3 linked regions of the Nothobranchius furzeri genome follow. The protein of the gene in region 3 purifies or fractionates together with the protein of the main gene of each other region. This does not show direct contact. Links are inferred from orthologs where the notes say so. Each region holds a gene or a part of one and is shown on either strand. Other genes may lie near its edges.

The links.
Region 1: the proteins of gtpbp4 (region 3) and mrto4 purify together in Homo sapiens (affinity purification with mass spectrometry; 3 studies listed by BioGRID and IntAct, counting the BioPlex papers as one, with this or other methods). This does not show direct contact. The link is inferred for Nothobranchius furzeri from reciprocal best matches to the Homo sapiens genes GTPBP4 and MRTO4.
Region 2: the proteins of gtpbp4 (region 3) and nsa2 purify together in Homo sapiens (affinity purification with mass spectrometry; 3 studies listed by BioGRID and IntAct, counting the BioPlex papers as one, with this or other methods). This does not show direct contact. The link is inferred for Nothobranchius furzeri from reciprocal best matches to the Homo sapiens genes GTPBP4 and NSA2.

The regions. Positions count from the first base shown.
Region 1 is NC_091743.1:63,496,724-63,501,100, forward strand, and holds the start of mrto4 (mRNA turnover protein 4 homolog), read left to right. Parts: upstream 1-1,377; 5' UTR 1,378-1,379; coding exon of another isoform or gene 1,380-1,440; 5' UTR 1,441-1,455; intron 1,456-4,377. Other genes in the region: iffo2b (intermediate filament family orphan 2), read right to left, coding at 1,380-1,440. UniProt on the Homo sapiens protein: Component of the ribosome assembly machinery. Nuclear paralog of the ribosomal protein P0, it binds pre-60S subunits at an early stage of assembly in the nucleolus, and is replaced by P0 in cytoplasmic pre-60S subunits and mature 80S ribosomes.
Region 2 is NC_091746.1:69,313,639-69,317,962, reverse strand, and holds nsa2 (ribosome biogenesis protein NSA2 homolog), read left to right. Parts: upstream 1-1,595; 5' UTR 1,596-1,749; coding exon 1,750-1,752; intron 1,753-2,159; coding exon 2,160-2,347; intron 2,348-2,427; coding exon 2,428-2,578; intron 2,579-2,699; coding exon 2,700-2,879; intron 2,880-3,013; coding exon 3,014-3,206; intron 3,207-3,320; coding exon 3,321-3,388; 3' UTR 3,389-3,577; downstream 3,578-4,324. Other genes in the region: gfm2 (ribosome-releasing factor 2, mitochondrial), read right to left, coding at 778-823, 996-1,065, 1,146-1,187. UniProt on the Homo sapiens protein: Involved in the biogenesis of the 60S ribosomal subunit. May play a part in the quality control of pre-60S particles.
Region 3 is NC_091751.1:36,527,283-36,531,715, forward strand, and holds the start of gtpbp4 (GTP-binding protein 4), read right to left. Parts: upstream 2,915-4,433; 5' UTR 2,817-2,914; coding exon 2,769-2,816; intron 2,192-2,768; coding exon 2,021-2,191; intron 1,936-2,020; coding exon 1,832-1,935; intron 1,501-1,831; coding exon 1,364-1,500; intron 1,273-1,363; coding exon 1,172-1,272; intron 1,037-1,171; coding exon 944-1,036; intron 1-943. UniProt on the Homo sapiens protein: Involved in the biogenesis of the 60S ribosomal subunit. Acts as a TP53 repressor, preventing TP53 stabilization and cell cycle arrest.

The sequences.
Region 1 (4,377 bases), on a different chromosome or scaffold from region 3:
GCGCAGCCAAGGTGTTGAGGGCATCCGTTTTGGTGGCCTGAGGATCAGGTCTCTGCTTTTTGCAGATGATGTGGTCCTGTTGGCTTCATCAGAACGTGATCTTCGGCTTTCACTGGAGCGGTTTGCAGTCGAGTGTGAAGCAGCTGGGATGAGAATCAGCTCCTCTAAATCCGAGACCATGGTCTTGAGTTGGAAAAAGGTAGAATGCCTTCTCCGGGTCAGGATTGAAGTCCTGCCTCAAGTGGAGGAGTTTAAGTATCTCGGCGTCTTGTTCACGAGTGATGGAAAGCTGGATAAGGAGCTCGATAGGCAGATTGGTGCTGCGACTACAGTGATACGGGCGTTGTATCGATCTGTCGTTGTGAAGAGAGAGCTGAGCTGGAAGGTGAAGTTCTCAATTTACCGGTTGATATACGTTCCTACCCTCACCTATGGTCACAAGCTTTGGGTAGTGACTGAAAGAACGAGATCGTGCATACAAGCGGCCGAAATTAGTTTTCTCCGCAGGGTGGCTGGGTTCTCCCTTAGAGGCTGGGCAATAAGCTCAGCCATCCGGGAGTGGCTGCTCCTCCACATCGAGAGGAGCCAGTTGAGGTGGCACGGGCATCTATTTAGGATGTCTCCCTGGTGAGGTTGTCTGCGTTGCAGAAGCGTTTTTCTGTTAATCACCAGCAGATCGAATCTGGTGTGTTTAAGCAGAGAAACAACTGAAACCTGCTGGACAGCCCTCGAGGACCAAGACCGCCACCACCTGCTTTAAAGGGAGCTTGAATGTTTAGACCTTTTCAAATTTCTAAGTAAAATGTGTTTGAGGGAATGGTTTTAAGGTCAAACGCTGTAATAAAGTGCCAGGCCATCTTCTAATAAATGTTGGTTTGCACTAAATTTACTTGCAACACTTTTCTACCTTTCCTGTACATCAGTTGTGTAATCTGTAAAAATAAAGCCCCCATGAGGGAGGGCGGCTCCCCCTCCCCGCCATGCTATCGAGCCTTTTGCTTACCCAGAGTCCAGGACAGTCTCACACACACACACACACACTGTTACAAATCAATCTGTGCAGAAGCAGAAACAGAAAAGGGTTTTTGCTCTGGTGCAGTTTTATTTTATTGTATTTGCCTCCACCTGCTCCGGCAGAAACATGGCAGACCGCTGGTGAGATCAGATGTTCACATCTACATTGTATCTTGTTCTGCAGCCTCTTCCGATGGGTTTGTAATCAGGTTATTCTAATGTGATATGCACTCCGGCCCTGCTCAGTCCATGCTTTTATTGTGTACACGATCACAATTTACTTATTTTTAGTTTTCTTTGGCGAGAGGTCAAATATTTGTGTATGTTCGTGTTAGCAGGATGTTTTATTGTTTATGTTTCCAGACCTGCTGCAGGGATTCCACCGTGGACTCCAGCTGCTCTCGTTTGGACAGCTCCTCCTCCCATCTGCAACACACAAAGGTGGGTCAGTTAGCACTGGGTCCTCTTCCCCAAAGACCTCTCATATGGGTTCATGGTCCTTTCGTGGAATGATACTCCCATCTCCAATTACAAGGCTCTCTTGACAGTGTGGTGTCACCCCTGCTCCCTTCCTCTGTTTTCACTCTTTTGTCTTCAGCAGTTAAATAAAAACTACAGGGACGAATGGATGGCTGGTCTTTTACAAGCACAAACAAACATTGCTCATGAAAAGGCTTTTGAATGAGTAAGTATAGGGTGGAGATTCACTACCACAGACTGAATTCCTTCAGGTCTGAGGAGATGTAATTCTCATTTGCAACAGTTCAACATTAATAGAAGAGCCTGAAATGTGTCCAAACTGGAGTCACTTATTATGATAATGATGTGAAATAACAGAGAACTAAATAACCAATGGCTCAAATTCATGGCAAAGCAGATTTGTGTGAAACAGAAAAAGGAACATGCGTCTCTGTGAGGTTTCGTTCAGGATTTCCGCTAAATGCTAATCGTAAGCAGCTGTGATCAAAATAGAGTCTTCAATTAACCGAACAAGCATTGGTCTGAGAGGAAACTGGAGTAAGCGGGGAAAATCCACACATGCACAGGGAGAACATTCAACCTTTTTACTGTGGGGTGAAAACTTATTCATTTCCTGCAACTGGAAAGTTTATGTTGTCAGGGATCAATAGTTAGTAACAAAATTAGAGAATGTTTTTTTAAATTATCTATAATTATTTTTGATTGCAGCAAATTTAGTTTTTTTGCATTAAGTAAGCTGTGGTAGATTTCTCTTTTGTTTAGTCTGGAGTGTGTGTCTCCAATGACAACGAGTTTTTTGATAACAATGCATTATGTAACAACTAGACTCACACGCTATGGAACCGTCATGAGACCCAATACAGTGCAACAGCTATTTACTCAAGTGTTCTGTTTTTAAATCAGCTTTAGTGCAAAATGAGACTTTTTACATATTTGTTTTTGAAAACGTGAATCCCCAAAATATTGTCAAAGGATTATAATTATGTTTTAAGTAGGGGTGTGTATAGACAAGAATCTGGTGATATGATGCACTACTAACCCCCCGCCCGCTCACTGCTAACGCCGTAACACTTTTAAAACCAAGAGGAAATTTCTGATTTGTAAAATACACAACAGATCCTGGGTCAGTCAGGATCATGGCAAGGCAGCTTTGGTGAGCACGTTGGTTGACACCACAACTTTGATGGGGAAACAGTAGATCGTCGTTCAGCTCAATTTGACAGTACACATCCAGTGTCATCGCTAAATCTCATTTCATCACAAGAAGGCGATAAAAACTGCCAACAGTTATACTGTTATTTCAGTGTATTGATATTTTCTTTCACATACCCTAGCTTTAAGTAAGACCTTTAAAAAATATATATTTTTACTATGTAATTACCAAATTACTTCAAGCCTAAAACTTCCTAATCAAAAGACATTAAAATATGCAATTGAAAATTATCAGTTCTGGTTTTTACTTTTTCAGGAACAAAACAGAAATAAACCATTTATTATCAGATGAATGATAAATTTAAGTTATACAAAGCTCTTACTGCAAAATTAATATAGAAGACATAAAATAGACCCTATATACATATTTAAACAAACGTCTATGACATTTGTACAGGTTCAAATGACACAGCCTTTACATACCATGCACATATTACACATCAAACTCTTTTTTTCGTTCAAAATGTCGAAACACGTCTGATCCGAGGCAATGTTTTTGAGACATTTTTGTTTGTTTGGTGCAACTGGCCAAACTTACACTGAAATAATTGTCATAGTTTCCAAAGGTAAAGTTTAAGTTCAGGAGATATTTGATGTTAGGTACCTAAGATGATTTAGATTAGCTTATTTTCTTTATAGAAGGGGGGGTCAAGGCCTAAATTGGTATACGTATATAAACCGTATATGATAACTGATATACAATATAAACGTATATCAGTTTATATCAGTTTAAAACCCACAGATGGATCTTTAAGGAACCACAAAATGCATTTCACCTTGAAGTAATCAGCTAATTCAATCCCAGCGTTTTATTCAAACCAACATGCCAGCGTTACGATGATCGCAGAAGTCCTCCCCTGTGGAGCATTGCTGTCTCTACGGTATCTGATGACAATCACTCCACATGCAATAAAACAACCCCACCAACTGAGTCACAGAGTTCAGACCCAGTGTTGCTAAAAATAAAACACCAGACCCTCCAATTAGCTACTTAGATTCTCCTTTTGTCATTTCAATATTACGCAGCACACCAGCTATAATCATTTTTGCAATTTGTATTCCACACAGAAACCCAGAGGCTTTAGCTTGGTGCTTCAGTCGGGACTTTTTTAAAGTGGGATATAAAAACAGAAATGCTGAGTCAAACATGCCTCCCAAAAGATGGTTGGACGTGCAGAACGAAGAAGAAACTCATTAAGAAGTGACGGCAGGTTCAGACACCCATGTGGAGGATGAGTCACTGTGGGCCATACGGAGCAGGATTAATATAGGAAAAAGGGGGTTTCTGGGTGAGGCAATGGGAGGACGTCTGCATGCCAGATCACAAAAGTTCACTGACAGGCAGACATAAGGTTATCTGAAGCTGGCTGTCAGCATGGCTGGCCATGAATTAGAACATACTGTACGTCGCTTTCCCAGCTAAACTCTGCTGAATACTCCCTGTCTACTTAGAGGGAAGTATTCCTATGCAGAGTCTGCCAGCTCACTCTGAAACCTAAAAAAAAAGGCTGGCATTGGTGCTTCACTGTGTCCACAACACTCAGCCGGTCTGCCGCAGGACTCGGGCAGAGTTCACAGGAGTTCACAGCTGCACCGCTTCCTCTGCAGATGCATGCTCTCACAGCATTTACATCACTGGTGTTGTCACTCCTTATGAGCGCACCACGGATC
Region 2 (4,324 bases), on a different chromosome or scaffold from region 3:
AGCTGCCAGGCGGTGACCCATGGCCACCGCCAAGACCCCCAAGGGGCCCCACTCACAACTGCCAGTAGTCCACCCCCTGAGGCAACCCAAGCACCTCCAGAGGGGGGCAACAGCCCCCCAGACCCTCCGACCCCCACCCATATCATCTCGCAGGACAATATCAATGGTCCACCATCACCGCTATGTGATGGAACCGATAAAAGGAGCCCAGAGAGATTGATTTGAAGTGGAAGCAGAGGCTAAACCAAGTGTAATATGATCTAACAAAAGATTTCTATACTGGTTGATGCAGAGACTTTCTCTATTTTTCCAATTCAAGAGGATAGTTTTCTTAGCGATGCATATGAACCACGTGAGCCAAAGATGTTTCAAACAGGACATCATCCAGGTTTCCCAGTAAACAAAGAGAGGGGGCGGTTGGGATATGACATTTCAGACACTTTGTGGGCTGCATGGTGGCGCAGTGGTTAGCACTGTTGCCTCGCAGCACGAAGGTTGCAGGTTCGAAACTCGGCTCGGCTGCGGCCTTTCTGCGTGGAGTTGCTTGTTCTCCCCATGCATGCGTGGGTTTCCTCCGGGTACTCCGGTTTCCCCCACAGATCACAACATGCCCTATAGGTTATAAATTGTAAGTCGCTTTGGATAAAAGCGTCTGCTAAATAAATAAACATAAACATTCAAGTCCTACAAAAAAGTAACACCCGAAGAAAACAGTCAAGGATCAAATACTTTGTCACAGCTGTTGTAGTAATCTAGTTTCCTACTGTTGTAACTTACTTGGATACATCAGGGTTGACCACGGTTCGCACTGATTTGATATCATCTGCAAGAGTGAGCAGAAAGTTGAGATATAGTGATGCAACACATTATTTCCTTAATGAAAGAACCACATCAAGTCATGTTGGTCTCTATTATTGAACTTTAGTGACAAATAAACTTATAATACACGATTATGCATATATATATGTGTGTGTGTGTTCATATATGATACATACCTTGATGAAAGTCATAGTGTCTCAACCTGCAGCTGCAGCTCTGATGTCCAGCAGTTAATAAATGCCGTCCCTGTAGACAGAATACTGTCAATAACACAACCAGTCTATGGTAGCATGCATTCAAATAAATAAATACATAAAACATCTTACCCAAACAATTCTGTTGACCGTCTGTAAGGCTCTGACAGACATTTCTACTGTTATAAAAGCTCCTTTACGTCACACACCAGCTGCATTTGAATGAAGAAATGTCTCATTGGTTACCAACCAACTAAAATATTGAACGGCACTTTGAATTTTTAAGTCACAATATCCTTATGAACAGAAACATTCTTGAAACCCAGTCAAAAGTCACGCTTACAGCTACTACCACAAAATACATCCTCTGGATCCTTTAGCCTATGACATTTATAGTTCCGCATGCAAACAAAAATGTAATTAATTTATATTCGCGGGTTTAAAATCCCCATAAGCACGTACGTAAATTGATAATATTTCTATGAATACTTAATATTGAAAAACTACCACTTATTTTAAAAATCGCCACTTATCGCTTTTTGTTTCAGCGGACCGGATAATGACGGCGGAAAAAACTGTTGCAATTTGATGACGCACTTCCTCTAAGTATCGGCTCGGGGAAAACAACATCAGAGAAGCCCCAGCCAGAAGCATAAAACACCAAATAAGTTGTGTTTTCGTCATCTTGAACCACCTATACCGTATTTTCTGTTAAGCGTAGCACCTTGAACACAAAATGGTGAGAAAATTAATCATTTAAAATGTACGTTGTAGCTTCTGTGAGCTGTTTAGCATGCTAGCAGAATTAGCTTGGGTCCGCATGTGTTGAGTCCATCTGCTAGTCTGAATTTATTCCGTTTCCTAACACATTTAGCTCAGTTTAATATAAAATAAATGTGTGAGTATGTATGCTACATTGTTGGTTATGTCAAATTAACTATGATGTTCAAGTGACCTTTGACTGCCCTGTCAGGAGTGTTCCTCATTTAAATACATCGAGTAATTGTATTTAGAAAAGTTACGTTAAATTAGATGGGATAAAATAATGTATTTGATGAAGATATCAAATATAAAGCAGAGTGTATTTGTTTAAAGGTCAAAAACTCAAATCTAGCTCCCCCGTATGTCTATATTATTGTTTTGTAGCCTCAGAACGAGCACATTGAGTTGCACCGCAAGCGGCATGGCTATCGCCTGGACCACCACGAGAAGAAAAGGAAGAAGGAGAGCCGAGAAGCTCATGAACGCTCCCACAAAGCCAGGAAGATGATTGGTCTCAAGGCCAAACTGTACCACAAACAAAGATATGCTGAGAAGATCCAGATGAAGAAGACGTGAGTCTGGCGGCATATGAATGGCTTCAGCGTTACCTGTCATATACGCTTGTAAATAAACTTGATGTGTTTGTTTTCAGCATCAAAATGCACGAACAGAGGAACACCAAGCAGAAGAATGACGACAAAACACCTAAAGGTGCAGTTCCAGCTTACCTGTTGGACAGAGAGGGACAGTCTCGTGCAAAGGTTCTCTCCAACATGATCAAACAGAAGCGAAAAGAGAAGGCTGTAAGTAAAAGCTGGCTGTCAGTGACGTTCCTCAGTGAAATAATATCTTTCAGTTTCTTGATAGAGGGTTTGAAATGATTATAACTGTACTGTGTAAACAAACATCTTTATTTCTGTGTAGGGTAAGTGGGAGGTGCCTCTGCCAAAGGTTCGTGCTCAAGGAGAGACAGAGGTGCTTAAAGTTATCAAAACCGGAAAGAGACAAAAGAAGGCCTGGAAGAGGATGGTCACAAAAGTTTGCTTTGTCGGTGACGGTTTCACACGAAAACCCCCAAAGTATGAACGTTTCATCAGACCTATGGTAGGATCACTGTGTGGCTCAAGTCCTGAACCATTTACAGCCCTGTTTCTCATGGTTTTTATGTCAAATTTAATTGTCGTATATTGCTGTAAACTCTGTGCCCAATTGTTAAATGACCATGTTGTTATTTTTAGGGATTACGTTTTAAGAAGGCTCATGTAACACATCCAGAATTGAAAGCAACATTCTGCCTCCCCATCCTCGGGGTGAAGAAGAATCCTTCCTCCCCCCTCTACACCTCTCTGGGAGTCATCACAAAGGGAACAGTGATAGAGGTCAACGTCAGTGAGCTGGGCCTGGTAACACAAGGTGGAAAAGTTATCTGGGGTGAGCTCTTTTTTTTTTTTTTGTTCAGTGTCATTATGACATCTATTAGACATCGTTTAAACCTTTGTTTTTAAAAAGCCTGTAAAATCTAAATTAATCTTATGTGCTTCTCAGGTAAATACGCCCAGGTGACAAATAACCCAGAAAATGACGGCTGTATAAACGCAGTTCTGTTGGTATAAGACTCTCCACCTGGCTGCTGACTGTTCAGATCTTCCATTAAATCTCAGATACAACAATCAGCAGACTTATGTTCACAAGACTGGAAGACCTCAGAAGAGGTGGTTGGAGGTTTTTTTACAACAAAAAAGGACACAGCTACAGGAAAGGAAATAATTGTTTGATACAAATAAACTTGGAATGAAAGCAAATGTTTTCCAGACTTATTTTACTTGCAAACATTTTCTGAGATTGATGCAGAAATAATAAAATCACATCAGGGTGATATTAACTAGTCGTTAATCTGAATTAAATTGGTTAATCAGAAGGTTTTATTGCCATTTGTGCAAGAGATTGCCGTGGTAGTTGGTGCAGAAAGAGATTGAAAATAAGAGATAAACAAATACAAATTACAGAATTGATTATAATTTGTTTGAATGTAGTGCTGATTTGTAGAGCTGCATAAAGAATAGGTAACTTTTCATTAGGTGCTCTTCTAAATTGTTACATGAATAGGCCTTGGATTAAAGTTACTTATTTTCAGTTCCTTCTATGTTTTTATTTAAAAATTGACTTAAAGAGCAAGTCACCCCCTACCAAAGTCTTACTCCACTCCCACTTCCTGTTTGAAAAATGCAACAAATGCTGTTGCCTGGCAGACCGTGCCGCTAACAAATACACAGGCTCATAACGACATTGTGACATCATATTGTACCAGCTAACATTCTAGAGTACCTCTTAGCCAATAGCAATGGCAGACTTATATTCAACTGCAGTGCAGTTTTTACCCGACGACACAACACCATCAGTTTTAGGCAGAAAATTTTAACTAAAACGCGGCTGCGGCCTTTCTGCGTGGAGTTGCGTGTTCTCCCCATGCCTGCGTGGGTTTCCTCCGGTTTCCCCCACAGATCACAACATGCCCTATAGGTTATAAATTATAAGTCACTTTGGATAAA
Region 3 (4,433 bases):
AAGCTCTGATTGTTGACACGCTCCAGACATCTGCGTCCTGAGCACGGCCACAGTTACATTATCAAATCAGGTGTTGCCACCTCAAAAACTAATTTAACACGCGATCGTTCATGTTGGCTCATTTCCTTTTATGTTTTTTGTTTTTTAAATTATTTTATTTGTGCCTGATGCGTTTCGCTGCTGTGGATCGGGGTGCATCACCTGTTTTGTCCTCCGGTGACTCACCTAACTGATGTGGCCGGCAAGCAGCGCGCACTCCGCTGTTTTTGCGGTCGGTAAATCTTTTAGAACTGCAGTTCAAAGGTAACTCATAAGATGAATATATATGAAGCCAGGTAGCAGTTTTTCTTTAGGATTGAGAGGAGATGCAGGAAGATAATAAACAGGCAGGACAGAAAAATAGTCAAATAAAAACAAGTTAGTTTTTGTACCTGGTGGTTGCAACAAACAGACACCATTGACGGTAATCAGAAGTGAGGAACAGAAAATGAAATAATTATTTTAATGTTTAGAGCAGCAGGAACTCCGAGAGGCTGCAGGCTCATCAGTGAGTTTGCAGCCGCTGCGCAGGGGGAGGGGGCTGAAGCAGAAACTACCGTTGTTAAAAGAAATGTGTTTAACTTTGAAAACGTGGGCGCAATTTTAATTGTCAAAAACTCCAGCGAACCATTAGTTCATTTTGCTCAAATAGAAATTGAGGCCTGTCTCTAATTCTGGTCCTCCTTCCAATAAAGGCCTGGAGCTTGGTGAGCTTGGGTCAAATACAGGCCCAGGCCTGTATTAGAGGATTAACGGTATTTATCAGCAAAAAAAAAAAAGTTGATTTGAGGCTGACTTGCTCTTTAAGTTACTCTGAACAGAAAACAGAAAACAATAAACCTTCTTCAAATATTTCAGGTTCACCAGAGTTCATGAATGCAGTAAAATAGCAGCAGAATCTCACCTGCCAGCGGAGGTACCTGTAGTCCATGTGACCCACAAACAGAGACTTTGTGGTGAAAGCATACGGCTGGACATCAACGTCTGCCCTGGTGACCTAGTGAGGTGAACATTTCACATTTTCTTTAATGAAGAAGGGAAACCAGGCTGATTTAATACATTAGTTAGTACCATGCTTGGAAAGCTGGTCTCAGTCAACATTAATTATGAAAAAATGATCTCTGTAGCTGACCTTGTTGATGAAACTGGATTTGCCCACATTGGGGTAACCACACAGAAGCAGGGTCCTGGTGTTCGGGTCGATGCTCGGCAGACGGGACAGGTGCTGACGAACTGTAGGAGCAGGAAGTCAGATTTAAACCACAGGAATCTGCAGCAGAAACTGATGTTTAATCACAAAGTTTTCCCACTAACAACTCATCACCTTGCTCCAGATACTCCAGACTGGATTTCTGTCGTTTCAGGATGGTGCACATTCGGCCCAAAGCAGCTCTCTTCAGCTGCTTACACCGATACAAAGAATCTCCATATTTCATCAAGCGCACGTAGTCTTTCGCCACGCTGGAAGGTTATAAAAAACAAAAATCACTTGTTTGTAGAAATTTTGGGTTCTGTTGTTAGAATCACTGGTTGTTTAACAGCAGAACTCTACTGCCTAAATGGTCTTCTCTGTAGGTTTATGTGTTCTTACAGAATTTAAAAATCTTTAGCAAAGCAGAAAAAACCTGAACACCTCACCAACCCCACAGGGACAGAGGTTAAACTTAAACTGTCTGATTAATTTTGTGTTTGATTCATGTCGAAACCTCAGGATTGCTTATATGTCAATAACCCAAACAGGGTGTTGTAAACTGCATGATGCATGTTCACATTCTCTGAAGTCCAAACTTACTTATCAATCAAGTTTCTGGCGATGTTAATCTGTCCTAAGGCCAGCTTGTAGTGATCCTTGTCATACAACACGTTCATCAGATCAGCATAAAAAGGATGGATGTCCTGGAGAGACACACAGACCAAATTCACAAACAAATCCCAGAAATCAGACAATCAGCCTCCAGATGAGTAAAGGGCGGTGACCTACGTCGAGTTTTGGGAAGTCTGTGAGGATTTGCGTGAGCCGGTCGTGATAGTTCTGCTGGGTAAACTTTACTTTCCGCATGTAGAAGTGTCGGATGCGGTGGATCTGGTAATGTTTGTGGACCACCGTGGGCGTCTTCCTTTGTGTTTTGGATAAAGTGATGTCGATGAATTCCTGCAGACATGAAGAGTGCACTGGTTAATAACCTGAGACCACAAAGACAGTTTTTCTCTAAGACATTCTGTTATCCTGCAAGGTTCAGCCAAGCCTCTGGCTGACAGAAAACAATGTTTATCAAGTCATTTTTCAAAAACACTTCAAACTGAAACGTTTTATTATATGATCTTCTTTACTTTGGATTGGGCTTTTAGAACACATTTTAAGCAACTGAAACGCTTAAAATTACAAACATCTGATTAAAAAGCAGAGTTAGATTTTATTTACGACTACTGGTAGCTACTAGCTAAAACAAAAAATTGAGGAGCTCGTTACTTTTCAAACAGTGGTGTAATCATCCCAGACATTACGTAAACACGCAGGAAAACCTCGTTTAGTTTAATAAATCGTGTCCTATTCGTTTTAAGGTAAAAATCTACTGTTCTCGCAGATTTTCATCCAATGATCTGTTGCTGTCCCACGTGTTTTCGTTCCATTTAACTGTTTTCATTTCTATCAACCAACGGTCGTTTCTAACCGCGAGAGCATGGTCAAAGCCGAGTTGAAAAAGCGGAAATCGTGGAATAAAACTCACCTTGGCGGTAGGAACCACCATAATCTTTTTAAAGTTATAAAGTGCCATTTTGTCAGGACACGTTTAGGGCCACCGACGGCACGGAGAGGAACCGGAAACGAGTCAGTCTGAGACCACCAGCAGAAACTGGAAACTTTTCTGCTCGGCGCCCTCTAGCGGCCATAAGTGCACACAGCAATTAGAAACATGTAAACATCCCCCAAACATTAAAAAAGGGCTGAACTCTAAAATAAACAGCTGATACGCAACTTCTAATGGCATCATATGATTTTTTATTTGATTTTATACTTCCTGGTACTATTTAAGACAAAACACTCATACTAAAGTCAGCTAAAATTAGCTGTGCTCAAGTAAAATATTTTTGAAAGCCTATGCCAATATACTTTTAGAATATAACACGTCTATTAAAAGTCTATTTAAACATTCAACCAACCTTAGTGCACTTAGTAACTTAACTGGAAAAATTCTCAGCTGAACTTTGTTGCATACAAATAAATTCTGGTTAATTTAAAATGTAGAAACTCAACCTTCTCCTAGGTATTTCAATATTTTTAAGTGTTTTATTCTAATCTTTATGTGGACACCTTCACTTTTACTTCATTGCGTTCACAATGTGTACATTTTTATTTTTACATGGAAGGGGACGGAGGTACAATTTACATGAAAACCATCGATGAAAACATGTCTATGGGGGCGCAACATATTTGTTGTGACCCGCGCTAATCACCAAACAACCAATCGGAGTGCAGTGGTGTTTCAAGGCCACGCCTACACTCCTTGATCACGAGTGAGGTTCGCGTGCAGTTTGGACCAATCAGGGGAGCACACTGCAAGAACGAAGACGAAGGGGCGGAGGGTCGAGCCCCCTGACAGCTGCACCAAAGACATCCCAAATTTTAAGGAGGTCTCACTCCAACAGCTGGGGGTTTACCACGAAGAAGTTCAACAAAACTGGGATGTGGTATATTTTATTTATTTTTTATTTAACCAGATGATTTAACTCATTCTCATTTGCAACGACGATCTAACCAAGAGGCAGCAGCAACAGACAGACAATTTGCTTTACACAAAAGAAAAGCAGATAAGATCAAACAAACAAGAATAAAAAAAGATAAATCAGTTAGACATAAAGACAAATGACTGTTCTCATGTACAATATCTACAAGCAATCAAAACAGACTTAAACAATCTAAGTATTCAGAGGCAGGCACATTGATCAGAAACTACTGACTGCAATGAATTATTGAGTTTTGTGTCCACTCAGAAATAAATTGTACTATGATAATTGTCTTTGTTTACTCTGTCCTCTTTCTTCTTTGTGTTTTGTATTTTAAATGGGGGTGAGAAGAGAGGTAGAAGAAATATGATTTGGACAAAAGCACAATGTTGCTGAATTATTTGGGTGTACAAATAATTAATAATACATTTTATAAAACTAATAAATAAAATAGAAAATAATGAAGGAATTATGACATCTGCACTCTGTAATAAATGAGTCACTACTATGAACAAGTAATTGAAAAGAAAATAATTTGCAAAATAATACAAACCTGTAATAAAATAATTTGTAAAAATCAACCAGGGATCAAAGATGCATATTGGTTGGTTTATAAACAAGTCTTTAGGAACATTACTTAATTATAAATGGTAAATGACCTGTATTAA